Linked DNA regions of Saccharomyces cerevisiae S288C. The protein of the gene in region 2 binds, or shares a complex with, the protein of the main gene of each other region. Each region holds a gene or a part of one and is shown on either strand. Other genes may lie near its edges. A codon is read from its position in the direction of its gene.

Evidence for each region.
Region 1: the proteins of ARP7 (region 2) and STH1 are in contact, whole or in part, in a cryo-EM structure (PDB 6VZG), measured with the Saccharomyces cerevisiae proteins. Residues at the interface, in NP_015359.1 of Saccharomyces cerevisiae: Glu25 (codon at 3,263), Leu26 (codon at 3,260), Leu147 (codon at 2,897), Ser148 (codon at 2,894), Gly150 (codon at 2,888), Lys151 (codon at 2,885), Ser152 (codon at 2,882), Asp171 (codon at 2,825), Gly172 (codon at 2,822), Ile173 (codon at 2,819), Ile344 (codon at 2,306), Thr442 (codon at 2,012), Asn445 (codon at 2,003), Leu446 (codon at 2,000), Pro447 (codon at 1,997), Ser448 (codon at 1,994), Leu451 (codon at 1,985); in NP_012140.1 of Saccharomyces cerevisiae: Arg320 (codon at 5,563), His323 (codon at 5,554), Leu324 (codon at 5,551), Lys326 (codon at 5,545), Ile327 (codon at 5,542), Ser329 (codon at 5,536), Ile330 (codon at 5,533), Ile331 (codon at 5,530), Phe333 (codon at 5,524), Ile334 (codon at 5,521), Arg337 (codon at 5,512), Ser343 (codon at 5,494), Gln345 (codon at 5,488).
Region 3: ARP7 (region 2) and SNF11 share a complex: the UniProt entries of both Saccharomyces cerevisiae proteins name them as parts of the SWI/SNF global transcription activator complex.
Region 4: ARP7 (region 2) and SWP82 share a complex: the UniProt entries of both Saccharomyces cerevisiae proteins name them as parts of the SWI/SNF global transcription activator complex.

The regions. Positions count from the first base shown.
Region 1 is NC_001141.2:114,666-124,511, reverse strand, and holds STH1 (RSC chromatin remodeling complex ATPase subunit STH1), read right to left. Parts: upstream 6,521-9,846; coding exon 2,441-6,520; downstream 1-2,440. Other genes in the region: alpha-ketoglutarate dehydrogenase KGD1, read right to left, coding at 1-1,823; RRT14 (Rrt14p), read left to right, coding at 6,868-7,488; MET18 (Met18p), read right to left, coding at 7,608-9,846. UniProt on the Saccharomyces cerevisiae protein: Catalytic component of the chromatin structure-remodeling complex (RSC), which is involved in transcription regulation and nucleosome positioning. RSC is responsible for the transfer of a histone octamer from a nucleosome core particle to naked DNA.
Region 2 is NC_001148.4:635,606-642,859, reverse strand, and holds ARP7 (Arp7p), read right to left. Parts: upstream 3,336-7,254; coding exon 1,902-3,335; downstream 1-1,901. Other genes in the region: GLN1 (glutamate--ammonia ligase), read right to left, coding at 1-652; HTS1 (histidine--tRNA ligase), read left to right, coding at 3,841-5,481; Rab GTPase-binding protein SRO7, read right to left, coding at 5,636-7,254. UniProt on the Saccharomyces cerevisiae protein: Component of the chromatin structure remodeling complex (RSC), which is involved in transcription regulation and nucleosome positioning. RSC is responsible for the transfer of a histone octamer from a nucleosome core particle to naked DNA.
Region 3 is NC_001136.10:587,488-593,614, reverse strand, and holds SNF11 (Snf11p), read right to left. Parts: upstream 1,177-6,127; coding exon 667-1,176; downstream 1-666. Other genes in the region: IPT1 (inositolphosphotransferase), read left to right, coding at 2,271-3,854; PAA1 (polyamine acetyltransferase), read left to right, coding at 4,213-4,788; FMP16 (Fmp16p), read left to right, coding at 5,236-5,517; ubiquitin-specific protease DOA4, read left to right, coding at 5,896-6,127. UniProt on the Saccharomyces cerevisiae protein: Involved in transcriptional activation. Component of the SWI/SNF complex, an ATP-dependent chromatin remodeling complex, which is required for the positive and negative regulation of gene expression of a large number of genes.
Region 4 is NC_001138.5:33,192-40,959, forward strand, and holds SWP82 (Swp82p), read left to right. Parts: upstream 1-3,611; coding exon 3,612-5,483; downstream 5,484-7,768. Other genes in the region: putative Mg(2+) transporter ALR2, read right to left, coding at 81-2,657; EMP47 (Emp47p), read right to left, coding at 5,652-6,989; GTPase-activating protein RGD2, read left to right, coding at 7,230-7,768. UniProt on the Saccharomyces cerevisiae protein: Involved in transcriptional activation. Component of the SWI/SNF complex, an ATP-dependent chromatin remodeling complex, which is required for the positive and negative regulation of gene expression of a large number of genes.

The DNA.
Region 1 (9,846 bases), on a different chromosome or scaffold from region 2:
GTACTCTCTGGAACATTAGTTGGTTCATGTGGTAATATCTCAGTGGCCAATTCCTTTGGGGATTTGAATCCTTCCCAGGCAGCAGTTAACCATTCTCTTTGAGATGGGACGTAATCCTTTGCCTTTTCGAAAGCATCTTCAAATAAGTTCCATACCCATTTCTTGTGCTCATCAATATCTTTTTTAGAAAATGTGCCTTCACTTATCAATTTTTCCGTATAGACGTCAATGACAGATTTTTGTTTTGCAATTTTTTTGTACATTAATGGTTGAGTAAACGATGGCTGATCGGTTTCATTATGTCCATGTTTTCTCCAACCAACGACATCAATTATGGCATCTGTGTGGAACTTATGTCTCCATTCTGCGGCTAAATTGAAAATAAAGGTCACAGCTTCCACGTCATTAGCGTTAACATGGAAAATTGGGGCATCAATGGCCTTAGCCAAATCGGAAGGATATGGTGTGGACCTTGCAAATCTTGGATCCGTAGTGAATCCGATCTGGTTGTTTGTAATAACATGAATAGTACCACCAGTAGAGTATTCTGGTAGGGTCAAGAAACCCATGGTTTCATAAACAACACCCTGCCCAGCAAAAGCAGCATCACCATGTAATAACACACCTAAGGCCTTTGTTTTTTCCTTCAAATCGTTCTTGGCATGCAATAAAGCTCTAGTTCTACCAAGAACAACTGGATCTTGGGATTCTAAATGAGAAGGATTTGCCACCAGCGATAAATTGACGTACTTACCAGACGTAGTTGGTCTTTGGTAGTTCATACCCAAATGGTACTTGACATCACCCGATCCTTCAATATCATCGCGAGCGCTCGAACCCTTAAATTCAGAAAAAATAGATTCATTTGGTTTACGGACCACATTGGATAAAACGTTCAATCTACCACGGTGAGCCATACCCAAAACAATATCTTCTACACCCAATTCAACAGAACGATCAACCAAAGTTTTAATACCTGGAACAACACTTTCCAAACCTTCTAAACCGAACCTCTTATCATTTGGAAATTTTGTAGATAAGAATGACTCAAAAGAAGTGGCCCATGTTAATCTATCTAAGATTTGTCTCTTTTGGTCCACTGTATATTGGTAAGGTTCAGGAATCTCAATTCTCTCTCTTAACCAATCACACTTTTGCTTAGATGGAATATGTGTGTATTGTACCCCATAAGAGGAACAATATAACTTTTCTAGATGATCCACAATCTCTTTCAGAGACATTTTAGATTTCCCGTCCCTTGCAAACCTTGGCAGGATACCAGGTCCTAGGTTGATTTCTTTATCAAGATCGTGTTTGCTAAAGCCGTAGTAGTCTAGAGTCAATTCCGGAGGAACAGGGTTATTTTTATTACTACCAAATGAGATCCCTAAAGGATCTATATGGGCTTTTAAATGACCTCTAACTTGGTAAGCTCTACATAGCAATTGCACTTTTAGATGAATGGAGACGTTCTCATCTACTGAACCAGTCATTGCGGTCCCTAAGGGAGCTGCTTCGGTACCCTGGGGAAAGTTACTGATACTGGGAGGAGCCTGAAAAGCCTTTGTAGCTGGAATCTTTGGGTTAGACATATTCTTGAAATATGCGTCCCATGAAACATGGACTGAAGATGGGTCTTTTTGCCAAGCTTGGTACATTTCATCGATATAGGTGGCATTTGATGTCGATAGAAAATTATCTGTACCAGTGGTGGCTAACCCTCTTCCGACAATTTTGACAGTAGATGCATTTTTAAGTAAAGATGTTTTTAATAGTCCTCTTGAACTATACCGGCAGGTTTGCGAAGACACGAACCTTAGCATAACGGTAAAATTTAGTATTTTCTAAAAACTGCTTTCTTTCTCTTTTGTTGTTTCTTTCAAACGAAACTTTAATTTGGGGAAATTAGGAAGAAGTATGATGCTGAACGAGAATCGCTTCCTTCTCTCTTCCTATCTATATTCAGCTGCTGCGACTATGTGACAGAAACAAAATTGAGGGCGAAAAACAAACAAGATATGATCTTATTAAATAACACACGGGTTTGTTAAAGTATAAATAGTACACACCCAATGAATCTAAACCGTTATCGTAAATCGGACTTACATGTAGGTCTTGACTCCCGCAGTCCCTTTGCCAATCATTTATGTGTAATGCCTCTTTCTTATTTGCAGAGGCCCCTTCCTTAGCCCCGGAATCGCAAACGGTCGAAGCTAACTGGTCCATCGCCGCCGGGTAATTATTTTGCGGCACTAATAAGCCCAGAGAATAAGCCAAAGGATATTAGTTACTCAAAGAATTATATTCGCTCTGTCGATCTTATTGTTACAGTGGTATATATTTTATAAACATATGTAGAGGTAGAAAAAAAGGCTAGAAAGAGTATTAGAGGGGAAAGGGATATAGTCGTAAAAAAAAAAAACATGTGGTGATGAAAACGTTACGAAGAGTGTTCCTTGAACCATTCATCAGTAAACTCATTTAACTTGTCAGCATCAACGTAAACCCAGGATCCCTCTTCATTATAGAATCTAGCATTTTCAAACATCGTTTGTAAGGCTTGCCTTACCTCCTCCAAAGTTTTGTAAGTGCCATTCTTGCAGTTTTTCAATATAATATCAATGGCCATGGGTTTTTCAATTACTTTAAAATAGTCCGGATAGTCGCGTTTCGAAGGAAGCTTTTCAAAAATGGACGTCCTTGGATGGGAGTCTACCTCATCTAACTGTTCGCGCATTTCTTCCACCAATTTTTCCACCGTGGGAAAAATCCCAAGCGACTTGGATTTAGTTTTAGTTTTTTTGGCTGCAGTCTTCTTCGCGGGCGATTTACTCTCTGGCTTTTCTTCTGCTCGCTTACCATCATTATTCTCCAACACAGTTGTTTTGTTTAGTTTGATCTTGACGGTCAGTTTCGGTTTCTTTTTCTTGGATTCTGAACCATTTATAATTTCAACGGAGCTACTTTTTACTTCCTCTTCCACCTTAGCGCCCCCGTTTTCTTGAGATGTACTCTCTTCTTGAGTATTCTCTTTGTCTTCTGCCGTAACAATGCTAATGGTCCTTTTCTTTCTACTACTCCGGCGTTTTGACCTGGAAGCTGTAGTCTCTTTATCAGCATTAGTTTCCTCATCCACAGCTGCAGTGAAGCTATTGTTCTCAATCAATGAAGTTTCGGATGCTTCAGGCGTGTTTTCCAGGGTTTCTATTTCATTCTCTTTTGTACCATTTTGACGTAATCTCCTTCTTTCACGTGCTTCACGTCTTTTTTTAATGGCATCTTCTAAAGACATATTATCATCTTCTACAGCCTCCAAAAATTGTTCTTCAGTTAGACCGTCATCATAGTAAACTCTTTTCTTTTGTCTAATCCTTCCCAATGGTTCAGAATCCTCTTTCTTGAAATGTTCTTCAATGTCTTCTCTGAATACTTTGGGTAGCTCGTCTAATTGAATCAATCTAGGAGGAGGGACTCTCAGGCCTTGCGCTTTAGCATCTGCTCTTTCTTGGTTCATTCTCTCCTTATCAATTTTATCAAATAGTATTTTTTCATCAGCGCTTCTGGCCAAAGTATCGTTTAACTCATCGTCATCTAATTCTGCTTTGTCATCATCATCCCTGTTCGTTTCACTTTCGATCAATCTTCTCAAAAAAGCTTCTTGCTCTTCTGCAGTTGATTTGTTATCAAACTTACCTGCCTGGATAACCTTGCCGTCAATGTCCAATTTCTGCATAGCTCTTTCCAAAATAACTTCCTCTACGGAATCAGTGGTAATTAATCTTAAAATTCTAACCTCATTCTTTTGTCCAATTCTGTGAGCTCTATCTTGGGCCTGTAAATCTTGGTGTGGATTCCAATCTGTATCAAAGATGATCACCGTATCTGCAGTTTGTAAATTCAAACCCAAACCACCGGCTCTAGTTGACAAAAGGAAACAGAAATAATCTGAATCTGGAGCATTAAATGCATTCAGCATTTCTGTTCTTTCTTCAGTCTTAGTGCTACCATCTAATCTCATATACTTCAAATCTTTCATTCTTAGGAAGTCTTCCATAATATCCATAACTTGAGTCATTTGGAAAAACATTAGCACTCTGTGGCCTGAGGCTTTGAATTTCGGTAGCACTCTATCCAGTAATTCAAACTTGCCCGCTACTCTGAAAAGTAAATCACTATTACCTCTTGAGGGGTTTACAACACCTTCCACTTCATCAAATACGAATGGATGGTTGCAGATTTTTCTTAATTGCATAATCTTATTGTTCAAACCTTTAATACCACCCTTTGTAGCCCCCTCAGTCCCTGCACCAACAAATAGCGCGTTATGCTTTAGCATTTGCTGATATAACTGTTGTTGCAAACCAGACAGTTTACATTTGATAACTTTTTCCACTTTATCAGGCAAATCCTTTTCCACTTCCTTTTTCAAACGACGCAATAAAAATGGCCTTAACACCTTATGTAATCTTCTAATAATTAACAGAGTTTCTTCTTCCGTTAATTCTAGTTTCTCTTGGGTACCGGTGTTGGCAAATGGAGTATTAAACCAATCTTCAAAAGTCTTCGCAGAATTGAAAATTTTAGGCAAAACAAAGTTCAACAGTGCCCATAATTCTGGTAGATTGTTCTGCAAAGGAGTACCCGTTAAAATCAATCTGTTTCTTGTACGATAATAATGAGAAATTGTGAATGATAACTTCGATTGAGCATTTTTCATTCTATGACCTTCGTCAATGATCATATGAGCCCAATCATGTTTTGATAAAAGAGATTTATCTTTAATAATATACTCATATGTTGTCAATAAGACGTCAAAATTTCCAACCCTTATTTGATGCTGTAAAGAGTGTCTTTGATTTGGTGTACCTTTGTATATAATAGTGTTTAAGCTCGGAGCCCATTTTTCAAATTCTAAAGTCCAATTGGTTATTGTGGATAAAGGTACAATGACTAGGAAAGGGCCGATGTCTTTCTTAACTTCATAAAGATATGTTATTAGAGAAATAGATTGGATGGTTTTACCTAAACCCATCTCATCTGCTAGAATACCGTTCAAATGATTATTGTACAACGACACCATCCATTCTAAACCTCGTAATTGATACTCTTTTAAAGTGCCGCCAACAAGAATAGAAGGTTGTTTATCAATTTTTTCTTTGATCCTATGAGCGACTTCATAATAGTCAGTCTTTTCTCTTTCTTCATCTGTAATTGGTTGGACTTCCTCACCATGAAGAATTTTTGCTTCGTTTTGTTGTGCTCTAACAGCCTCCGACAAAGAATCCAAAAAGGAATTAGTCTGCCTCAATAACTGTGTAATTCTAGTATCCTTAGTTTGATCTAAAAGCTTTAAATAAGCCTCCTCATCGTTAGACTTCAAAGCAGCTAAACGTTGCTTAGCAGTTCTTTCTATTCTTTTCTGTTCATCTTTCTCCATTTGATTGTGTAATGAAGCGCCTAATCTACCGAACTGAAAGCAACGTTCTTGACGAGACCATTGCTCGGACTGCCTTTCTTTGATGAAATCAATGATGCTGTTTATTTTTTGTAAATGTAAATTACGTTCCTTTTTTCTTTTTTCCAATAGTTGTTGCCTTTCTAATTCTTCTGCCAAACGAACGGTTTGTGGGACAATAACTTTGCTTCTAATTTGAACAGATCTTTGTGCAGCTGCTGTGAAAGGAGAATCACGTAGATATGGAATATTGTGGTGTGCCTGGCTGGCAACATTGTTGATTAACTTTTGCCTAATCGATTTTTGTTTAGTTAGTAGCTTTAAACTTTTCAATTCCACAAGAGCTTTGATTTTGAAAGTATCCATTCTGGACGATAAATCATCTTTTGTAATAAACTCTAAACAATCATCTAGTGAGTATGTACCCAGATTGGCAGGTAATCTTTCCAGCTCGTTAATTCTGTTGGATATACGTGCAGAAATCCTTATTTCGGTATCTGGATCGCCCAATGCAGTCTTCGTAGCGTTAGAAAATTTTGATTCTAAACCCAAACTTTTGGCCTTCGCATTGAAATCTGCTGATATTTTTATTGGTTTCTTTTCAGAATAGTCTACTTCGATCGCCGTAGTGTTATCGTTCTTGGTGTCTGGTAAGTCTAAGAAGTAGTCAGGGACATCTGTATCTTTCTCCAGTAACTGTAAGGCAACCAAGTGTTTATTCAATAAATCCTCATCGTACTGAAATCCTTTATCTATACTCTTTCTCAAGGTATCCAACTTTGTTTCGTAGATATCCTGATCACGTGATATATTCCTAAAAGTGTCTTCTATTGCCTTGATCTCCAACTTGTTTTCCTTTGGATGGTTTTGAATAGCCCTATAGCGGTAGAGTAGCTGCTCCAACTGTGCACTACTCCTCGGCTTTGGAATAGTGATTTCAGGTTGTTCCTCGGACCCCAGCTTTCCATTTGTTTCAGAGGCTGCAGCAACCGCAGCCAATGCGGCAACTGTTGTAGGTGTATTATTCATCACCGTGCTCATCAACTCAGATTGTTCCTGAAGCATTCGCGCTTGCTCTAAACTGTGCTGCCTCTTTGTGTTGTTATTTCCACCAAATTAGCCGCTGATTGCCTTTGTTTTTCTCTATACTCTTTTTCCTCTTAAGTTTCGTTTTCGTTATTGATAAACTTTTTCTTTTCTCAGTGCCAAATTGGTGTCTTCTTTTTTTGCCACGGGGCGGGTACTAGATAGTCACGTGAATGTATACACGTGACCCTAATGCTCTTTGAAAAATTTTGCGATGAGCTTTAACTAAGGAATATGGAAATATAGCTGGCAACTGTGGAAATATTGTTTTGTGGAAAAGTTGTTTAGAATACGAACAACTTAAGGAGGGAGCTAGCTAGGCCAAAATGTCATCTTCGCTGAGCCAAACATCTAAATACCAGGCCACCTCGGTTGTTAATGGACTGCTATCAAACCTTTTGCCTGGCGTTCCCAAAATCAGAGCTAATAATGGCAAAACAAGTGTAAACAATGGGTCAAAAGCTCAGTTAATCGACAGGAACTTGAAAAAGAGAGTACAGTTACAAAACAGAGACGTTCACAAAATTAAAAAAAAATGCAAACTGGTCAAAAAAAAAAAAGTTAAGAAACATAAATTAGATAAAGAGCAACTTGAACAACTGGCAAAACACCAGGTTTTGAAAAAACATCAACATGAGGGCACATTAACGGACCATGAGAGGAAGTATTTGAATAAGTTAATCAAAAGGAATTCTCAAAATTTGAGGTCGTGGGATTTAGAAGAGGAAGTACGAGATGAGCTTGAAGACATTCAGCAATCCATCTTGAAGGATACAGTTTCCACTGCGAACACAGACAGGAGTAAAAGAAGAAGGTTCAAAAGAAAACAATTCAAGGAAGATATCAAAGAGAGCGATTTTGTTAAAGATCATAGATATCCTGGTCTGACACCGGGTTTGGCACCTGTAGGACTAAGCGACGAGGAAGACTCTAGTGAAGAAGATTAAACGTAATAAAAATAAATGCTATTTTGCTGTACTATACATAAAAGAATCATATTTACTTAGTATACTCGCTAAGATTTTCACGTGCTCATCAATGTGAACAAATTATTAAATACAAGCGTTTACTCGAACGGGATTTGGCCTAATTCATAATAAACCTGTCTTGTGTCAACGCATTGCTTTCTTATTATTCTTTTTTTGTCAGATAAAACTGGTATTAAAGCGCTTAGAACATCGTCCTGATAGCTCAAACAATAGTTTAGAGGTACTACAGTCGTAATCATTTCTAGAAGCTGTAAGGCTATTAACCTGACACTGACACTATTATATTTGTGCGGAAGCGAAAGAGATAGTAATAATGGAACTATTGTGCTTACGTGTTCAGTAATTAAAGTGTGATGTTTATCCGTAGTGTCCTTCAGAGTTTCTAAAGCGGATACCCTTACTTCAGGATCAGGCATATCCAAAGCCTGCAATAAAAGCGGGAATAAATCGTTGATAAAAGGACCAACCGATTGGCTTGGAGTATGCTTCAACACTAAGGATAATGCAGTTAAATAATTGCATTTAATGGTCATGTCCACGGTATTTTTATAGTTGCTGACTAGTGTTTGAAAAATGTCACCGAAGAATTTTTGTTTGTACAAGATTTTAACGTTATTATTCCAACTGATACCTTTAAATTTCTTCAAAGAACTGATATCCATGACAAAAACTTCGAATAGCTTCGATACAAGTGAGCCAATCTCTTCATTAGACAGTAAATCAATAAACTTTTTTGCAATTTCTGATGACTCTAATGAGTTTTGCATTATCAGCCCTTTAGTCAACCAAACCATCACTTCAAGATTAATTACTGATAAGTCTTTCCAATCGAATAATCCTATCACATCTTTTTCAGAGACGAATTTATTTGATAAGACCAACAGCAATTCCAGGTATCCTAATTTTTCAGTCTCCGTCATTCTTGGAGCATGTTTTTTGAGTAGTTGAACCGTTCCGAAAAGCACTGTAAATTTTTGGGGGAATTGGCAGTTTTTATTTAGTGCGGATAATATTTTAGCATATGAAATAGCCAATACATTCGGTGTGTCTAAGATTCTTATCTTACCTTCAGAAATGAAAAGCTCGTTATATCTGTCTAGTTCTTCTTGGTGTGCAGCCTGTGGAATTTTCAAATTGGTGAAGAAAAGAACGTTAGATAGAAGTGTCAAATTGTAATTGTCACTTACAATGGCCGATTCCTGAGTAATTATCTCAAATAATTTTGGCTCAATGGCATTCTTGAGTGCAAGAGCATCTTCTTCATTTAGCACGTTCTCATTTTGATTATTATTATTAAAAAGAGAATATATGGTTGAAATAAGTAGAAAGCAATATTCTCTGGATTTCGAAATTTTAGCTACCCTATTCAATTTTGTCGCTAAAAATGTAATGCTTTCTTTGACCAAAATATGTCTCGAAGTGGTGAAATCAAGAATAATCTTCAAAATTGTTTCAATGTGAATATTTTCCTCATCATTTACTCGAATTTTTTCCTCGAAGCAATCAGGTAACAAATCCAATAATTTCTTCAATGATATTTCAAAAACTAAATCCTCATATATCTCACTGATTGTCTTTAACCCTTCCAAACAAGCATAGTAAATGTTTTTGTTGTTATCCGTTAATATTTCTTCCGTGAAGTATTGAATAATTAGTGAAACTTCCTCTGGGGTTAAAAAGCCCTTCATTTTAATCATTTTTGTGAATTGAATCACAGATAGAGTCCTTATGGTAACCTCTGCCTTGGAGCTTCTTGTCAAGGCCATGCTCAAAATCATTATGATCTCGTCTTTGTATTCAGCCATTTTATTATTTGGCACCGGTGTTCCCAACGATTCTTTAGATGTTCTTCCAAACAAATCAATGTACGAGTCAACAAAAAAAGAAAAATTCATAATCAGCAGCTTAAGTTTGGCAACTTCAGATGTATTGATCAAAAATAAGGGGAAAGTTGACGAAATGACCTTGTTAAATATCTCGACATTCCCACTACCTATAGCGGACAAAATCTGGCAGGTTTGCTTCAAATCCTTTTCATATTTAAAATTTGGTTTCAACTCATCTAATACATGAGTGAAGAACTTTTCAAATGATACTTTGTCAAAATTGTATAGTTGCAATGCCATTAGATTAATAATTTTCAAGCAAGCATCGTAGTTAGTATATTGGCCCACATCATCACTCTGTTGGTCTTTATTGTACGGATTTAGTAGAGTGTTTTCATTTCCTTCGCTGTTTTGCATAATTTCAAATTTCAAAGCGTTCCAAAGTAACGTCCAATTTTCCAATATAGAAGAGCCGCCGAATTTTCTAACG
Region 2 (7,254 bases):
CCATCCATAATTGGTCACCCATGTCAATACCGGTACATGGACCGACTTGGAATTCCCATTGAGATGGCATGACTTCAGCGTTAATACCAGAAATTTCTAATCCGGCATACAAACAAGCTCTGTAGTGAGCTTCGATCATGTCTCTGGCATAAACCTTACCGGCACCAACACCACAGTAGTAAGGACCTTGTGGAGCTGGGTACCCACCCTTTGGCCATCCGTAAACATCGTCATACATGTCAAATAGAGTGTATTCTTGTTCTAGACCAAACCAGATTTCTTCATCCTTATGAGCAGCAAATAGCTTGGCAGCTTCGTGTCTGTGGTTGAACTTGTTTGGAGTACCGTCATTGTTGTAACATGCGGCCAAGACAACAATGTTGTCACCTCTCCTGAAGGGATCTGGGTAGTAAGCAACGGGTTTCAAATAGATGTCAGAGTCGTGGCCTGGCGCTTGGTTGGTAGAAGAACCGTCGAAGTTCCATTCTGGCAATTGGTCAATGGATGTGATTCTCTTCTTCAAAGTTCTACCTTTGGAACGTAAGTTACCAGTACCATCGATCCAAACGTATTCGGCAATTATTCTACCTCTTTGGTCCAGTTCTAGATATTTTTGTAAAATTTGAGTCTTTTCGATGCTTGCTTCAGCCATTTTTGATTATATTATATTATATTATGTTTAATTTTTGTTTCGGTTGAACTTCTTCTATAAATGAAATGAAGTTAATTTCTCACAAATATGTATGTGATTCTATAGTTATCTTTGTGTGATGTTCTTACCTAACGAAAACAAAGACAGAACAACCTACGAACCAACCAAGCCTGAGAATTCGATATATAGAATCACTCCCTTATATATTACAAAAAAAGAAATCTACAAACTAAAATAAAAACATGGCAAACAATATGCGTCGGAGTCATCTTTAATTCATTATCAAGCCTACTACTTACACCTGACCGCTTACACTAACAAATGAATTAATTTTTCACTCTTTTTTCATATTACTTTTCTTTTTTTCATCCTACTTTTTCTTTTTTTGTTTGTGTTTCGCTACACAGGACATCAATGCGGCATATCAGCCTACTCTCCTGCCAAAAATAGTGTACTATTTTCGCATATTTGGGGAATAATAATGACCACAAATGGCACTATGATGCGAAAAAAATTTTCGATAAAACACCGTCTGGCATCGTCTGTGCGGACCAACTGCTGTAGAAGACTTTTTTTTTTCTGCCTTCGCGAGCTTATCTTATCTATTAGGGGAGCGCAGTCATCAATTGTAAACAAACGTGCGAAGCGATCCGTAGTCCTATCCGGGTAACACTCATCGTCCGGCCTCCGCCCCCTTTTCCCCGGGAGAACCGTATGCGGGTACTGGGTTTAGGGGATCCTTGTTTTGGTTCTCGCGAGTGTTTTTCCGATTGCGAGATTTTATTTTCCCTTTCGCATCATCCGGACGAGCCAAAAGCGCCATTGTTCCGGCCGCACGTGCAGCGCATGTGTACTTGCGCACTTTTGTTTACTATTGTCCTGACAAACTGATTACCAAATGTCTTTGAACAGGTGGGACAAAGAGAGACAAAAAAGCGGCTATCATGTAGCTGGGACGATATTCCGCCGCCGGGTAGCGCATATTGAAAAATGGCTGTTTACAGTGGGCCTCACTAGCTTAGAGTTCATCTCTATATAACTATTTATACAGTTTTTTTATATTAGAATGGGTTCATCGAGTTATCGCGTTTGTTTATATGTCCCTCACTCAAAGTAGGGGGTGGACTGAATCTTGAAGGAAACCCGCTTACTCCTTACTGATAGCTACTACCGGCGCTGAGAAAAATGGGTCGAGATCTCATCTCCTTCTAGCCGCCTACAATCCCTTTTGGATATTTGCGCCTTACCACTAGTTTGTTGCGTTCGTAGCCTGCGACTGCTTTCTGTCTCTTTTCAGCGTTTCGTAATCTTCCTTAGAGTACCATTTTCCCAAGCTCCATGATGGCAGATTGGCCATTGTAAGGGCGCCCAGCCATCCCTGGATTTTACGGTCCATCATGACTTGGTTGGCAAAAGTTGTCAATTTGTATTGCGGGAACCTGATTGACAGCTCCTTTATTATGCGTTGCTCCATACCTTCGATCAGAGAGGTAGATCCTGTGATGATGACGTTCGTCAACAGTAGCGAGTATACTTGTTCTGGTGATATGTTGCTGCTGCTGGCAGTACTGTTATTATCGCCAACATTGGTGTTTATATGGCTTGTACCCAATCCGTTTGGGTTGGTGGAGGTATTGGCCTTCATTGAATTTATACTAGCGCCGGCCTTCTTGACTGATTTTGCCATTAGCGGTCCCAGTCCGTCCTCTGGTGAGAATTTGTCTGATATCAGTTGAGGTTTGAAGAGATACTCTGCGAATTGGTAGCACTCCTTAAGGTCCAAGGTTAAAGTCTTGTTTAATGGCTTGAATAGAAAATTTTTCTTTTGAACCAACGGATTGTTGGGGCTTCCCGTTAACGCCGTGTACTGAAGTTGCTGATCCATTTGTTTTAACTGCTCCTGTTGCTTAGCGTATATATCTGCTTGCTCTTTGTAATACCTTTCCAACTCAAACAAGTCCTTTTCGCTTACTTGCAACATAGTAGACTTGAATTGCTGAATCCACGTGCTTGCTTCGTACCAAACGTCGGTGGACCTTTTTTGCTCGTCGGCCATGTTTTCCATGTCGTTCTCTTCTTTAATCAGTGGAGCCAACCTTTCGTGTACTTGAAAATCCAAGAAATCACCGCCAAATTTAGATCTCACTACAGCATTCTTCACCACAATACCGTCAATGATGGGAGTAACGTTACAGCCTGACGCGCCGATATCAATCACGAATGCAGAACTCTTGCCCATGGATAGGGCAATTGCCAATGGCTCGATTACAATCTGGAATACTGGTACATTTAATTTGTCGAACGCCAGCTCATAGTAGCGCTCTAATATGGCCATGTCCGGTTTACCATTGGTGGCAGGCATCGTAATCACCAGTGGCAGTTCCTCGGGTGAAACTTTCAATTGGGTGTCGTACAGATATCTCCACTGCATCTCCAATGCGTCCCAATTGTACGGTAACCCTTGGCTATCTACCAATGTATACACCTCGTCACCATTGCGTTTTTCTGCCGCAGCGTCTATCATATTGTAGGTTCCGAATATAAACTCAGCTTCCCCCCCCTCATCTGTTCTTTTAATATAGCTAGAGGGTATAATGCATTGTGGCAATTCAACGTTACTAAATCCAGCCACCGTTCTGTGCGATCCGTTATGTATCACTACGCACTTCCTATTCAATGTCATTCTTGACAGATCCTTTATAATGTAGTAATTCTCGCGCTTTTGCTAATAGCCTACTACTCTGTTCTATCTCTCTTGTTTACCATTTTCCGCTTTGTTTTCTTGTTTGAGGTTTGCTTTATTTTTTCTTTATTTTCTTCGAAACGCGGCCATCATTTTTTTTTTTCAGGATCACTCAAGGTGAACAAGTCTAAGTATTGAAAGGTGTGAAGACTTGCCGATGATATACTTATATGAACGCCGTGATGCGTACGTCTTTGATGGAAATATTGTATATATCTCTTTCTTTCCTTATAATCACTGTTCTCTCTTGTGTAATAAGTAAATCTATTCGTTTCCGTGTAAGGCGATAATTTTTTTGTTTGAAATTTTTTATCAAGTTTTTTTTTTTCTTCAATTCTAACCAGCTCGAAGATGACTTATGGCCTTGATCGACCGGGCTTTTAAATGAGTCTTACGGCCCAATGTGTTACTTTAGAATAGTTCCTTTCTGCTCGTCTCTTGCTTAATGCTTAGTAGATCACTAAATAAAGTAGTCACATCTATAAAGTCGTCTTCGATAATCAGGATGTCATCCGCTACCGCTGCTGCTACTTCTGCTCCTACTGCTAATGCTGCTAATGCTCTAAAAGCTTCAAAGGCTCCAAAGAAAGGTAAACTACAAGTGTCTTTGAAAACACCTAAGGGTACGAAGGATTGGGCTGATAGTGATATGGTTATCAGAGAAGCCATTTTTAGCACTTTATCTGGCCTATTCAAGAAGCATGGTGGTGTCACTATCGACACACCTGTTTTCGAGTTAAGAGAAATTTTAGCAGGCAAGTATGGTGAGGACTCCAAACTGATCTACAACTTGGAGGACCAGGGTGGTGAATTATGTTCTTTACGTTACGATTTGACCGTTCCTTTTGCCAGGTACGTTGCCATGAACAATATTCAGAGTATCAAGAGGTATCACATTGCAAAAGTCTACAGAAGAGACCAACCAGCCATGACTAAGGGTCGTATGAGAGAATTTTACCAGTGTGATTTTGACGTTGCAGGCACATTCGAATCTATGGTTCCTGATTCCGAATGTTTGTCCATTTTAGTGGAAGGTTTGACCAGTTTGGGAATCAAAGATTTCAAAATCAAATTGAATCACAGGAAGATTCTTGATGGGATCTTCCAAATCGCTGGTGTTAAAGATGAGGATGTGAGGAAAATCTCTTCTGCTGTCGATAAGTTGGACAAATCTCCATGGGAAGCAGTCAAGAAGGAAATGACCGAAGAAAAAGGTCAATCCGAAGAAACTGCTGATAAAATCGGTGAGTATGTTAAATTAAATGGTTCTTTGAAGGAAATTCACGCTGTTCTATCCGCAGATGCCAACATTACTTCAAACGAAAAGGCTAAACAAGGTTTGGATGATATTGCTACTTTGATGAAGTATACCGAAGCATTTGACATTGACTCATTCATCTCTTTTGATCTTTCTCTTGCAAGAGGTTTGGATTACTATACAGGTTTGATCTATGAAGTTGTTACTTCTGCATCTGCTCCACCAGAGAATGCTTCAGAATTGAAGAAGAAGGCCAAATCTGCAGAAGACGCGTCAGAATTCGTTGGTGTCGGCTCTATTGCAGCCGGTGGTCGATATGATAATTTGGTCAACATGTTCTCTGAAGCTTCCGGCAAAAAATCTACTCAAATTCCATGTGTTGGTATTTCATTTGGTGTTGAAAGAATATTTTCTTTGATCAAACAAAGAATTAATTCCTCTACAACTATAAAGCCAACGGCTACACAGGTGTTCGTTATGGCTTTTGGTGGTGGTAAGGACTGGACTGGTTATTTACCCGAAAGAATGAAGGTTACTAAGCAATTATGGGATGCTGGCATTGAAGCTGAATATGTCTATAAGGCCAAGGCTAATCCTAGGAAGCAATTCGATGCTGCTGAAAAAGCGGGTTGTCACATTGCCGTAATCCTCGGTAAGGAGGAGTACTTAGAAGGTAAATTACGTGTCAAAAGATTGGGCCAAGAATTTGCCGATGATGATGGTGAATTGGTTAGTGCGGCTGACATTGTTCCTATTGTTCAAGAAAAGTTATCACAAATTCATGAAGATGGTCTAAATGAGGTCACTCGTTTAATTAAAGGATTATAAACTTGATAGCTCATGTATTTACAAACCTTCGTAAAACTAGACATGTATAATGAAAAATAAATCGATTCAAATTAATTTATAAAGCATATAGAACTAAAAAAAAATAAGTATAGAAGGAAGTTGCTCATTACCCTGTATGAATTAGTGTATGTATTTAAAAACCAAGGGCACCTTTCATTACATCTTTTCCAGTCTGCTCAACAGCCTCGTTCATTGTTTCTCCCATGGCGGTAGCATAGTCGTTGAATCTATCTTCAACGGCGTCCCATCTAGTTTCTACAGCTCGAGAAACATTTCTTAGTACCCCGTAACTACTGTTCCTGCCCTTACGGGTGGGCTTGGTATACTGGTGTTCCGGATGGTTCGCATTATTATCGTCTGAAGAACGCTCCGAGAAACTTCCCTCAGCAATGATGCTCTCTTTGTATTTGGATGCAGGTCTATTCACGCCACCCAATAATTCATTTAATTGAGCGGGAGTACAATATACAGTGCCTCTTGCCCACTGTAATGAATTTACTTGTGGCCTATAGGGAATCCTGATTCCATTGATGTACAGTGTGTCAGAAACTGGCGCTAGCGTATCCTGTTCCTTGACAGTAGAAAATAGTGACGCCTGAAATTCACTCACTCGAATCGCTATATCACCATTTCTTAAAACAGATGATTCTGTAATGTATTTTGCGGCAATTGGAAATGGAATATGTTCAGACATTTGTTCTTTGAAATCTGGAATAGTAAAAACTCTTAGATGGCCATTGATTTCTAATGTAATTATTACGGTTAGGTTCTTCCTATCATTATTTTTCTCAACGGTTGAGATGTAAGATAAACCTGTCGCGGCAAGCGGGTATTTGAAACCTTTATGTGTACTTTTAGATTTGCCCAGTGTTATTAATCTGATATCATCGAATCCAGTTATTAATACAATACCAGGAATGCAAAGGCCTTTACTTAAATTCTGCATTTTTGGAATAGTTGCCAAGCAGCTAGATTTTGTTTCCTTTGAAAATGCATCAATTTTGTGTATCGGACCCTTACTGGTAACATTAGTAATATCCATTAGTTGCACATCGAACTTTCCACCTGATGCAGGAAGAATTTTGTATGTGATTACCTCGCCCATATCAGTACCACAGACCATCAATATACTAGAGTAACCATCGTCTCCATACTCCATAATTACGAATTCGATGCAGGTAACACATGCGCTTTGAGCTCCCGAGATTTCTCTAATGTTTTCCATGTAAATGATTGCAGGACCTCTTCTATCGATCAACATAAGGCTTCCGGCAGCATATGCGATTCCAACAAATCCAATATTACTGTTGTTGATTGCAGATGTTTTCCCTTTGTTGGCATGCACGGCAGTTGATGGCATAAATCCCTGCCTAACACCGGTAGGTGCCCTGTCTCTCACATCGACGAGAACACCATTCGTATTATTCAAAGAAAACCGCCTGAAATTCATCTCCAGGTCACCGCTTTCTGGTCTGTTCTCAACACTGTAAAACTGGTTTACTTCATATTTGAATAAAACAACGTCTCCTGTTTCAATTGACACCGCCAACTCGAGAGTCTCTGCGGCAAAAGATATCTTATCAACTGCTAGTTCTTTGGCCTTGTTCAACGTTCTTGATAGATTCACTTCAAAGCTAGCATTATCTTGTATATCCCCATGGGAAGCATCGTATATCCTAACTGAGCCATTAGAATGGCCGGTAATGAATGCTGTACCGTACTCAGCGGGAAGTTTTTGCCTTTTTGTTCTAA
Region 3 (6,127 bases), on a different chromosome or scaffold from region 2:
ATCGTCATAGTAGGAGCGTAACTAACCCCTATAATCAGACCCTCGGCCGCTCCGTCTCACTGCCGATTTCCCTGTATGGCACCAAATTTTTTCTTTTACAAGTTCCTTACGTAGAGAACGAGAAGAGAATAGAAAGGAAGGGGTTGACCGTTGGAAGGAGGGGGTCCAGCGAGGCTAGACTAGGTTAGGCTAGGCCAGAAGAGAAGGAGGGGAGGGAAAAGTCAGAGAGTCAAAAGGAGAAGGGGCTACGCTCCAAATGGCGTAGAGTAAACTAGTAGATATTGAGATTAGGCTTCCGTTACCGACGTGCATGATGAAGATGACAATGCTTACTGCGACGATGACGAAGGTGGCTCTCGAAGAAGATAATAAGAAAGTAGTATTAATAGGGCTGGCAGTAAGATAACTACATCTGATGTCATAGATTTTAAAATACTAATATTATTATTTACGTTGGGTACATTACATACGATAAATTCATGCAGTTGTAGTACTTGAGTGATTGTTATTTGCCTTTCTTTTTCTGCTTTTCGTATTCTATTTTTCTTATGCTTCCTGTACTTGCTCTGCGGGTATGCAATCACACCTGTAGCTGAATGCAAAATTAAAATTGCAAAAGTAAAAAAAAAAAAACAAAATAAAAAAGGGAAGAGAAACAAAGTTATTCTACCATATCTCGAACACTCTTGCCAAGAGAAGATAGAGTTTAGAAAGAATATCCTGTGGAGGTTGCTGCTGGTTGGCTAGCTGAGGAGGCGTGAGGATCAGTGGTTTCGCTGAGGGCACTCCTTGGTTTATCTGAGATATGCATTGAAGATTGGCATGAACCCTTTTAAGGAACTGAGATATAAGTTGCTGTATCCTGATGATGTTATTGTTATTGCTATTATTTATATTGTTCTGTAGATTGTTTTGTAAACTATTATTCATCTGAATAACTCTAGCAAGTAATATGCTGTTGATATGCAATAGCAGTTGTACCTTATACTGTCTTTGCTCATCGACCGTGGGGAGGTTCAGCTCTGCAGTTGCATTTGCAGTTGCATTTGCAGTTGCATTTGCAGTTGCATTTGCATTTGCATTTGCATTTGTATTTACATCTACGCCAGCGCCAGTATTGCGGTTCTCGTTTTCAGTGTTGGTGTTCGTATTCGAGTAGGCAATTTCACTGCTCATTTTTCTGGGAAAAAAGGAAATCTGTGTGTTTTGCTTATATGCACATTGAATTTACACTCCCGATCGTGATGCGCTCTGAGCCCTGAATAGAGGGTATCATAAACGGCAATCTTACTACGACCCCACGTAATATGCTTTTATGGGAAGTCTGTTCTCCACTCCGTATATACTGTTAGGAGAAAAAAGGAAAAAAAATTTGCCCGAAAGTCGATTGTTACCCGGCAAAACAATCATCAAAAAAAAACAGGTAGAAGAAGGCTTGCTATAATTTGAACACTCTCTACCCTCCTGGCTGCTTTATCTACTTCTGTTGGCTTGAGAAACGTCATATCTATATATAGCGTAGATATGTTTATTCGCGTTTGCACTGGCCTTGAAGAAACGTGAAAAGAGGGTGGTTTCACCGCACAGCGGGGTTATCCTTGGTTACTCGTAAATGCCAATAATCCATCTTGAATAATTCCTATTCGAGACGCATGGGGAAATGCAAGGCAAGCTAACACGTAGTAGAATACCCTGCTGCACAGCGCCGTTGGGGTCTCAAGTGCAATTGCCGTTTTGCGCGGCGATAAACGGCTAAAGATTACTTCAGTTGGCCACGGCAGCTGCGCCCTTCCCGAGTGGATTACGCTCACGTGCTTTCCGCGGAACAAAAATGTGAACGCCACGGGAAAAAAGCATTATCCCCGCGCCGCTTCTTGACGCCTCTGATTGTGCTGATTGATTCCGCTTTTTTTTTTTACCGGCTTTTTTCTCCGCCTTCTTCGCCTCAATCGAGAGTTCTGGTGTAAATTCTCTTACGAAGTGCAAAGTTAGTAGGAAAGTAAAAAAAATAAGAAAAAGGAAAAATGCCTAGAAATGCAGACCTCCGGCCACAACATTTTTATATAATACATTCGAGCATCAAAAACCAGGAACAATAGAAGAGTAATCGCTACTTGTCAAATAAAAATAAAAAAAGGAAACCTAAGGCATAGTGTTTTCATAAGCATCGCTACTTTTTCATTGCCACCCTAACTGTTCCTTTATTTCACCGGTTGGACGTTATCATTTCTGCTAAGAATCACCTAAAGTCTTTCAACGTCTAAGAAAGCATGAATGTCATATTTTCTTTGGCGAGTTTCGTCAAAAACATGTATAATGCAAGTTTGAACCAACGTAATCTAATAAGCCTGCCGTTCAACTTCATGCTTAATTTTGCGCCAGTGTTTATTTGGCTGTCTATATTCAAGCGCGCTGGTCTGATACCCATAAGGCTCAGACCTGACATTCATAGCAAGTTTGCTTTTTTTGCTGATCAATTCCTCTTTGGGGACTATTGGCATGAACTTACTGTACAATTGCCCGATAATACTTCGAAGCTATTTTTCTGGTCATTCATATCATCTTCTGCATTTCTCTTAGTATTTCTGATATGTATTCCCTTTGCCATTTGGTACTACATCTATTACATTAAGCACGTTAACTATAATCTGTTAGAGTGGTTCGCAAATATTTTTCATTACCCCTGCAAGCGCAAGCAGCGGCCGATCCAAAAGAGATTTCGGACAATTTTCATACCGTTTGCCTTGCCCCTGTTTACATTTGTTATACTCAACATTGATCATTTCTTTGCTTACCAGTCGGATGCAAACTTTACTAAGACCAAGGATTTACTGGCTTGGTTCTCCTATGTCATCCTGCACTTGACAGCTCCAATTTTAACAGCTGTATACTTATACGTCTTCCAACCACCGGGGACTTTAAAATGCTTTAGTTTTGCCCTAGGATTACAAAATATAGCGGGGGTCCTTACCCATCTGCTTGTTCCAATGGCCTCCCCATGGTTTACTCATCTGTACGGTATTGATGACACCGAACATGTTAATTACACCCAGGAAGGGTTTGCTGCCGGTTTGATAAGAGTAGATAGCCATTTGGGTACTCATTTGAACACTAAAGGATTTCACATGTCTCCTATTGTGTTTGGTGCTGTTCCTTCACTACACTCCGCCATTGCATTTCAATGTTTCTTGTTTTTGGTTTCAAGGTCCACCAGCTTAAAACACAGATTTTCCAATGCTGGAGGTTTCACAATGCACAATAATGATTCTTCCACTTTCAAGTTGAGTGAGGAAGACAGCGAAGATGAAGGTGACAATAGCATACCGCCCACGATTGGCCCTAACGACTTAGAGATGGAACCATTGGGTACCGTTGAGCCTGTAGATATTTCAAATGAGCGGTCCTCCTCCCCTTCATCTTCATTCACCGTATCCAGTAATGAAAGAAGCACCGGCGGCGGCGACGGCAGCATTATTAACAGCAATGGCAATAAGAAACCTCTCCAGTTTGTCCATTTATATGATGAAGACACGAACTTCACAAACAAATGGATTTTTAAAATAGTCAACGATGGGTTTATACCAAAATTCTGGGCTATCCTATATATAATACTACAATGGTGGGCTACCATGTATCTGGACCACCATTATAGATTTGACCTTTTCGTTGGTGTTTTATATGCAATGACAAGTTTCATCATCATAAACTGGTTTGTTTTACAACCAAAAGTTTTAAAAAAGTGGATTCATATAAGGTTAGGCGACAAAGTGGATACAAGAAACGAAGCTCGCACTTTTGGCATGAGAGTATTTTGTGGCACCAAGATGGAATGGTTTTTTGATCCGCTTGCATAGACTATAGAATGTCATAATGTAATAAAAGTAATTTCGGATAATTTAAATAATATAGATTGGCTTTTTTTTTAATAATATATTATTAGTGTTATGCATGCTTTTTTTTTTTATTTTAATAAAGGGTTAACCTGAAATCGGCTTGCTTTTGGTTTTCTGTCAATTCATAAAAAGAATAGTTTTGAACGGGCAAAAATGGAAAAGCAATGGAAGAACGACGAACATCCCACTGGACAAGAAGCGGGAGCAAGTGTTTGTAAGAAAAATTTACAACAAACTAGATTAAGAAGAATTGGACATCAGAATACTTTTCTCGGAGAAAAAATAACACCAATACATTACGATTAAATAAAAAGTTAAAATGGCCTCCTCAAGTAGCACGCTACCGCTTCATATGTATATTAGACCCTTAATCATTGAAGATTTAAAGCAGATTTTGAACTTGGAAAGCCAAGGTTTCCCACCAAACGAAAGAGCTTCAGAAGAAATTATCAGCTTTCGTTTGATCAATTGTCCAGAGCTATGTTCAGGTCTTTTCATCAGAGAGATCGAGGGCAAAGAAGTTAAAAAGGAGACACTAATTGGTCATATTATGGGTACTAAGATACCTCATGAATACATTACTATCGAAAGCATGGGCAAATTACAAGTGGAATCGAGTAATCATATTGGTATTCACTCTGTAGTAATCAAGCCAGAATACCAGAAAAAAAACCTGGCTACTTTACTTTTAACTGACTACATTCAGAAATTGAGTAATCAGGAAATTGGTAACAAAATTGTCCTTATTGCTCACGAGCCATTGATACCATTTTATGAAAGAGTTGGTTTCAAGATCATTGCTGAGAACACCAATGTTGCTAAGGACAAAAACTTCGCAGAACAGAAATGGATCGATATGGAGAGAGAACTAATTAAGGAAGAATACGACAACTAGATCATTAGTTTAACGCACTTTACAAATGTCTAATTATAAATACTACATATAATTTTTGTATATTTTAAAATTGCCAAGTATAATTAAAATCATTACTACTGGTGCTACCCTACATCCTTGACCGTACTGAGATATCACTGCTTAATTCCGGTGATTGGGTTCTTTTCAGTTCTTGGAGAGATATACGTACTACCTTCCTTTTTTTTTAAGGATACCTTTACTGTAAAGGGTTTGTTCCTGTATCAACCCCTTCTTCCTGTACAGAATCTAAGGGAACCGTAAAAGCACATAAGTATATAAAGGTCCCAAGATTTGATTAGGTAGATATGGCCTTTGAGTTGGCTCTTAGTTTTTTTTGGCCTTGAATACTTGTTCCTACAATACTCCAACAGCAGTTGAAGCCAGACCGCAGTATCACATATATAATACACAGGAATATATTTGATAATGTTGAGAACCACTTTTTTGCGCACTCCAAGACAATTGATGCGTAAATCGCCAAGGGCGTCTTTCTCAATCGTCACTAGGGCCGCCTTTCCTCACCTAAAGAACAATCAAGATGAAGCTGAGAAAAAAGAACAGGGTTTGTTTGATAGCAACAAGAAGAGGTTGGACACTTTGGAACACGGCAAGAATCCAGATTATAAGCAACCTGGAATGGAAGATTTGAAAAAAAAGGGAGATGACGCTAGAATCGAACAAAACAGGCCAGATGACGGTGTTTATTAAGAAGCACTTGGTACAAACTCGTATATGCATGTAGTTTCTGTCATACACATATCTATATTCCTTCCCCCCTGGTCCTATCGTATTTAGTCATATCATATCATTTATTGATATCTATATAAGTGCAAAACTATAACCATTATTTATTTGCTTTCCACATTGTTTTACTTCATTTGCTTCAATATCGTTCATTACGTTTAGCGAATGGCTAAGGCCCTTGTATTAGTAAAAGCCTAGAAAAAAAAAAAAAAAAAAAAAAAAGGATATGATGTTATATGATACGTGTAGTTCATGTATTTATCTTCGGTAGTATAGGGCAGATTTAAGACTGAGTGTGCACGCTTCCAAAGTTTTTTTTACTATTTGATACATGCTTAAGTTATGGAGCAGAATATTATTAGTACCATAAGGGATGAGTGTATTCGTCACCGGTCGAAGTACCTTACGATAGCACAACTAACCGCTATTGCAGAGGCTAAAATTAACGAATTCATCATAACTGGTAAGGCAAAAGATCAAGATTTGAGCAGTCTTCTAGATAAATGCATCGATATTTTATCTATTTACAAGAAGAACTCGAAAGATATCAAAAATATTATATCGTGCAAAAATA
Region 4 (7,768 bases), on a different chromosome or scaffold from region 2:
TTTCAAAATTCAGGAACTTGTTGTTCGGCAGACTTTTATTCTGCCTGCTAAAGATCTGCCGACCTACCATAGCGGTCATGTTAATTGTAACGGCTATATCTACTGGGTAGACTGACAGTTGATTTCCTTCGAACGCCAACTCTCGCATTGCCATTTTTAGAATCATCGTTAAATCTTTTATCTCTTTTCGGTAAAAAACTAGATATGACTGATTTGGCCCCACTACCTGCGGCTTCGTTGAGCGTTGCAGGTGGGTCTATTTTTTTGATCCAATAGCTAGCTAAAAACCAGCTTATGACAGCTAGTAAAAGCAGTACCCCCAAAATTCCATACCACCACGCAATACTTCCATTTCTTCCTGGAACTTTTACATTCATACCGAACAGACCAGTAATAACATTTAATGGAACTAACATTGTACCTAACATAGTAACTTTACCCAACATTTCTGTAACTTTATTATTAGAGTTAAATGATTCCACTTGTAATTGGGCCAGGTAGTTTGCATGTGATCTAGAAAAAATCTTTTCGTACGCCAATAAATTTTGAAACATCGTCAACAAATGATCCTGAATATCACCTAAGTATAAAGCAATATCTCCCCTTGGTTGTGATGTTGTTTGCATATAGCTATTTGATAAGCTTATTTGGTTATTACTATTATTCTGGTTCACATTCTCTTGTTCCGCTTGTAAGTTCACCATGTTAGTTTGAGATTTAAGCACTGGCCCAATACCATTAGTTTCATCTTGACATCTTTTGGCGAACATTTTGATAACATCTGCTTTACCGCTCAAGAGTCTCATCAGCGTCATTGTCTTACGCCTACTTTCACCAATCCTTTGTAACATGGCTGCAAAATCCATATCACGGGTCATAAACACTGAATCATCAATCGAATCAGCTTCATACTCGATGGATTGAATAACCGGAGCAAAACTATCTGTGATATCATCGATTAAAGCATAACATAACCAATCTGAATTGACACTGACATAGTCACGTAATTGTCTTACACGTCTTCTTACATTGGCACAGTGTGATATTGGGTCAAAATGAAAAGTCAAGACACCTGACCTAAAAACAACGATGTAAACATTTATAGGTTCAAGATAATTCTCCGATTCTTTATCATTTTCAAATGTATGGAAACAGACAAAGTAATAGGATTTGAAAAGCTCTACCTTTTCACGCGTTTCTTGCATCCTGATATCTTCCGCGGTCAAAGGATGGATTCCAAATGTTTTTGCTATGCAACGCATTTCATCATCAGTTGGACAACTGCAATCCAACCACCACGTTGGATCGCCTCCCTTGAATAACTCATAAAACGTCTGTCCCTCGGATATCAAAGAAGGGATATCACTAGCATGCACAGTTTCATCAGATTCAGAGCGGAAGAACGAAAATCTACTAGGAATTTGATATTCTGTATTTTGGAGGGTATAATACGCCCGGCTATAACTCGAATCATTTCCTTCTTTTTCACCTTCAATCTTATTTCTACCAAATGTTACGTCAGGGTGTAGATCAGGTTTATCATCTTCCCTCACAGATTCATTGTTTTCAGATACGTACATCTCATTAACGCTGCAATTTTTTTCAAGAGTCCGTGAAATTTCAGGTGTATATTTCAGAGCTGCTGAGGATCCTGAAGTGGAAGCAGAGTTAGTAAATCCAGTATCTTGGTCGGTATGATTGTATGTTCGTTCACTGTGCCTTTGATGGTTCGCCAAAGACAGATTTCTTTCAGCATTTGAAATCTGGGCATATTCTTCCAACTCATCAAAATCAACACCATTAACTCTTGTATGTAATAGTCGAAACATTGGAAAACAAACGTCTTCTTCTGTTTCTTGAGAATCCCTGGATGCTTGCGATATCTCACTATGGAAAGATACCCTGCTATCCATACGTAACGGTTTAATTCTTCGTGTGTCATTTCCCATATCGGACTTTTGCGATGCAGTTCTTGTCAACAACGTTGTAGGATTGACTGATGAATGTGTCGATATTGTAGAATAGGTTCTTCTCTTAAGTTTCGCCTGTTTGGGATGCGTACCATGCTCTGATTCAGCCGATGTTTCAAAGATTGCGCTAACTAGCGAAGCCTTACGAGCGCTTGTAAAAGTTCTTGCCGAGGAGGAGGCTTCTAAGTTGCATCTGTTACTTGACGTACCGGCAGGTAACGCCGTATCATGGCCTCTCTCTAAAGCCGCATTCTTTGGCAAAGAGGGAGCGATGCTCTCTACATGAATCTGCTTTTGGTGAGTTTCAGACTTTGCTAGCCTGGATGGCCTCGCATTAGAACTTAAAAGCGCGAAAGATCTTAACTGGTAACGTTTCACTGCTTCTGCTTCTGCTTCACCTTCAAAATCCATGCGGCCACTTGTGGATATATTCGTTTTCTCCACATAGCCTCCATTTTCCACTCCACTATTCTCCCCGTTAGAGGAACTAAATTTGTGTCTAGAATCTTTCGTTTCGTCCACTTTCAATGCAAGCGCTTCGTGACGTATTGGTTGTGCATCAGAATACTGCCTATAGTTCTCTAATTTTGGGTACTTGCCTGTCTTCATGGAAGCCGCCGTATTGTCAACGGATTTTGACCTTGGTAAATCTGACGATGAATCAAATGAAGTGGATAAGGACGACATTACGAAGTTTTTTCACGTTTTCTCATAAAAATTCAGTACTTCTATAAAGGTGATTAAAATATATTCCTGTCGATTTTTTTATCCAACTGACAGTACATTTCCATGTAAGTAATTGTTTAGCAATAGTAGTCTCTACCGTCCTTGCTGAACATTGAATAGAGGAAATAAACGCTGTTGATTTTACCTTTCCACTTTTATAATATAAACCTCTACGTTAAAATATCATATGCTCGAGGAAAACCTGATTTCTCTGGAAGCAGCCACTTTCGTGAACAGCCAAACCAAATGCTGCATTTTTCGAAGAAAATTTTTATCTCAAGGAGTCGCTTTTGTAACTTATAGCCGGTCAGGCAGTAAAAACGTACCTGAAAGAATAGTTTGATAGTAGGATATGGACAACGGTTAGTTTTGTCTGTACTTCTTGTATACAGGGCCTCTGTCAAATGAATGTGCGTATAAATTAATGGAGGTCTTGCATAGTTTGTTGAAACTTGGAAGAACTGTCAACCTTCACATATATGATATCCACGGTCTAAGCACGAAGGGCACTTCTTGTTTCTCACATTTAGGCAACTACGATGTGGGAAGTACAGCTCAGTTACGGAATCTAGCACGTAGGAAGAATAAGCGATAAGTGTTCCCTTCAACACATCCATAAAGGAGTTTAGCAGCTGATATATTTGTCGTATCTAAAAAAATTTTCAGAGTATTATGACCTCGTCAAGTACAACGGAAATATATCCTGACATGGAAAGATTAGCCGTTCAGAAAGTGGCCCTGTGCATTAAATATAGTTGTAGTTTCAGCCGTCTATATTTTTTTTTCGAACCATCACTTTTCCCTTTCTGGACTTTTCTCAATGTAAAAACAAGAAAAACATGGAATGTATAATACTATAAATAAAAAAAGTAGGAAGAAGAACCAAAACAAAGGGCGTTTTAAAGAGAGACGAATATGCTTGGCGAAGATGAAGGGAATACCGTTCTTGAAAAGGGAAATAATCCTTCTGTAAAACAAGGAGAGGTTGGAGCTGTATTTATAGTACCCAAAATACTTATCAGAGAACATGAAAGAGTGATACTTAAGCAAATTCTGCAAATCCTGGATCAAGATGAATTGGTTCAACCTCCCTTAGACAAATTTCCCTACAAAAAATTAGAATTACCGAAATATATAGATGAACTTAAGACGAGAGACGCTACTAATACATCCTACAAGATGATACAATTGGATGCTTATGGTGAGAAAAAAGTGGGTTCGAACGGTGAATTATTTGGCGGTAGACATTATTTGTTCAACACCTTCACATTCACGGCTCATATGGGTGTTCTTCTGGTACTTTTACAAGATGTCATTAAAGTGTTATACCAAAGCAACGCAACGCATGACGAGGACGAGTTTATTGTCCAGCATGATCAAATTCTGGTAATGGAAACTTCTGAGGAACAAACAAAATTTTTGGCCAAAAATGGTGTCATTCCTGAAGAATCCAAAGGATCTTTTAAGTATATAACTGCCAGGTCAGCCTTTGTTGAATTCGGTGCTTCTGTTATTGCCGGTGGTCAACGCATCGTTGATGATTATTGGGAATCTTTAGCTAAAAAGCAAAATTTGTCGTCTCACCAAAGGGTTTTCAAATTATCAACAAATTTAATTTCTAAAATCTCACTTTTACGCCCCTCCTTCCAAAATAACAGGATTAGCAATGCCAATGAAATTAGTGCGAACACTAATAATACCTGTACGATTTCTACTTCAAAATTCGAATCACAGTATCCAATAGTCACGGAACAACCGTCAGCGGAGATTAGAGAAGCCTATATTGAAAACTTTGCCAAAGGTGAGCACATTTCGGCAATTGTTCCTGGTCAAAGCATTAGTGGAACATTGGAACTCAGTGCACAATTTAGAGTACCGCGTTATCACAGCAAAAACTCATTTCAACAAGCTCTGCAAATGAAGGCAATGGACATACCAATCGGAAGACATGAAGAATTACTTGCGCAATATGAAAGTCAAGCTCCTGATGGTTCCGCTTCAATTTCACTTCCTAACCATATTCCATCTGTCAATCCTAGCAATAAACCAATCAAACGAATGCTAAGTAGCATTCTTGATATTAACGTTTCCTCATCAAAAAACAAGAAGTCTGAGGAGAACGAAATGATAAAACCCATGAACAAGGGCCAACACAAAAATAATACATCGTTAAACATAAACGGCTGGAAATTTGAATCTTTGCCATTAAAATCCGCCGAGAATTCAGGTAAACAGCAATATTATAGAGGATTGCCGTTATATGAAAAAAACACGCTGCTAGAAAGGTTGAAACAGCTGACACCGAACGAAATTAAAGAACTAGAGCATTTACACGATGCCGTTTTTGTTAATACCGGTTTGCAGAACGTTAGAAAAGTTAGGACAAAAAAATGGAAAAAGTACTGGCAGTACAAGGCAGGTATTCCTATCGGTTTGAAACGGTCTCAATTGGATGAATTCAAAAATAAATATTTGAAAGATGTGTTGGCGCAAACGAGTGTTACTACAAATTTTAACGAAATAACGAATACGGATGAAACAATAACAACAAAGAGGGTACCGAACCCAAACTTCCTAGGAAATTGTAACATTAAGGATTTTAAACCTCCATACATTTATTCTCATGTGAACAAAGTACCACAAAATGTCGCTGGGGATAAAACGGCTGTTAAGCTGGACACTGAAGTAAAGAACACAAATGCTAATCCAGTGGTGGCGACGGATCCGGTCGCCGCTAAACCGGACAACCTGGCTAACTTCAGCAACGAAGTAGCTATGAATAATTGAAAGAAGTAAAACATAATGTAGGGAACACTCCAATAAGAAATAAACCATTGTTGAAGTAGTAATATAAACTATCGTTCGTTATTTTATAAAATATGTATTGTTACATATATATACATATATAGGGAATGCATGTGCACAATTGGTTTGAGTGGAAGGAATAATCCAAAATCATAGCAGTTTGGTCTTTATGATCTCTTGTCTGATTCTGAATGTGTAATATGCCATAACCAACATAATGAAAATTAATGGAAGTAACCAAATCATTAGTTTTCTGGCAATTTCGTCGACCTGAGGACCATCTTGTCCATGACGTTTGGTAGCTTCCCTATACTTTTCTTGTTCAACCAGGACTTTCTCCAATTTCTGATTGATTGATAAGAAGTCTTTGAAATTTTCTTTATCCTCAGCGATTGCATCATCGGTGGACGTTCCCTTTTCATTATTAGCTGGTGGCTTAGAAGAGAGCTGTTTAGTTATCGTAGTCATGAATGATAATAGCTCTTGTTGGACCTTAATGACATCATTTAGCTTTGTTTCTAAAGCATTGATATCGTTCGCAAGAATTTTACCTTCAACTCTATCCAGTTTCTTATACAATTCATAGTTTGTAATTTTGTCTTTGTCAGCGTCAAATGCTGTTTTTTCAATCAATTTTTCTTTGCCGGTTTGTTGGTCAATGTATTTGGTGATCAGTTTTGGCTGACCCATTGCATTCACATTAGGGATCAAAGAATCTTCAATCACGCCATTAAAAAATTGCATTTTGAATATTTCAAAAGACTCTGCATTATTATTCACTGCTCCATTTTGAGCGGTGACACCAATACGGTAAGACCCAGAGGGAAAGCGAACCTTCCTAGTTTGGAAACAGACTTTATTGTCCACCTGAACTTTTAATAAGTTGTCGTCTTCCAAATCATAAGTTACTCTGATCGTGGAAGGAACGGAGGAATCCTGATAACCCATCAAACAAGATGCAAAACTCTGATCATAGATTTTCGTCTTATCTACAGGCTTTTGACCATCATTTAGTTGACCACGAAGTGTTGGGCCCAATGGACCATTGTTATCCACTAATAATTGTAAACCATCATAGTTCACTGGCCCATTGTATAACTGCTTATCGCGTGGTACGTTAGAATCTTGAACAAACCAAAATGATATGCCACCGTCGGTTTGGCCAGAATAACCAACACTCCTAAATGTCCACTCCATAGTAAAAGAATCCTTCAAATCGAATCCTTGCTTCAACCAAAGTGAACCCTTGGAATTTTGCTTAGAAGTCAATACAATTCTCCCTTCCTCTAGACTAGCTTGTTCTCCAGTTTGCCAGTTATTGGGCACTTTACGTGCATTAATGAGATCAGGGAGCGAGTAGTCTGAGCTTAATTTGGATGCATCTGAAGTGTCACCCAATGGATGAGCTTCTAGCAATCCAGCCCATGTCGCTAAGACGGTAAAAACACTCAACAGTACTGTACTTTTCATAGTAATTAACATCATCATAAAATACAAATTCCCTGATGCTAACTATTTGTTAATTTTATTGGTATAATTATAATTATTCAATACCAATTAAGGCTTCTATTAAAAGATCAAAAACATTCTTAAGAGTTCATACTGTTTCTCTACTCGTGTATAGTGATACCAAGACGTAATGACAATAATAGATGGAAATTGAAATATTATGAAACAGGAATAATATTCCGTTGAATTGTAATAGATGTTGTACACCTGCAAGCGAGCATGCTATCATTTTGCGACTATTTTTGGTCTGAAGACCTTGTCTCAGGTCTAGATGTGCTTTTTGATAGATTATACCATGGTTGTGAGCAATGCGACTTGTTCATTCAATTATTTGCGTCAAGAATGCAATTTGAAGTCAGTCACGGGAGGCAGTTGTTTGGTATAGAAGCCGGTATGGACAATCTGAAGGCAGTGCAGGAAGATGAAGATGAAGGGGTGACAGTTTCGAGGGCCCTGAGGGGAATTCTACAGGAAATGTCTCAGGAAGGGACGCATCACTTGACAATAGCGTCGAACATAGAAAGTTTGGTGCTGCAGCCATTCAGTAAATGGTGCATAGAACATAGGGAGAGAATTCAATACTCCGAGAAGACTTTGTTGACCAATGTAAATAATTTCAGGAAGTCTAAAAAGTACGTCGGTAAGCTGGAGAAGGAATATTTTAATAAATGTAGGCAGCTAGAAGAATTTAAAAGAACTCATTTCAACGAAGATGAGCTAGCAAATGCAATGAAATCATTGAAAATACAAAATAAATA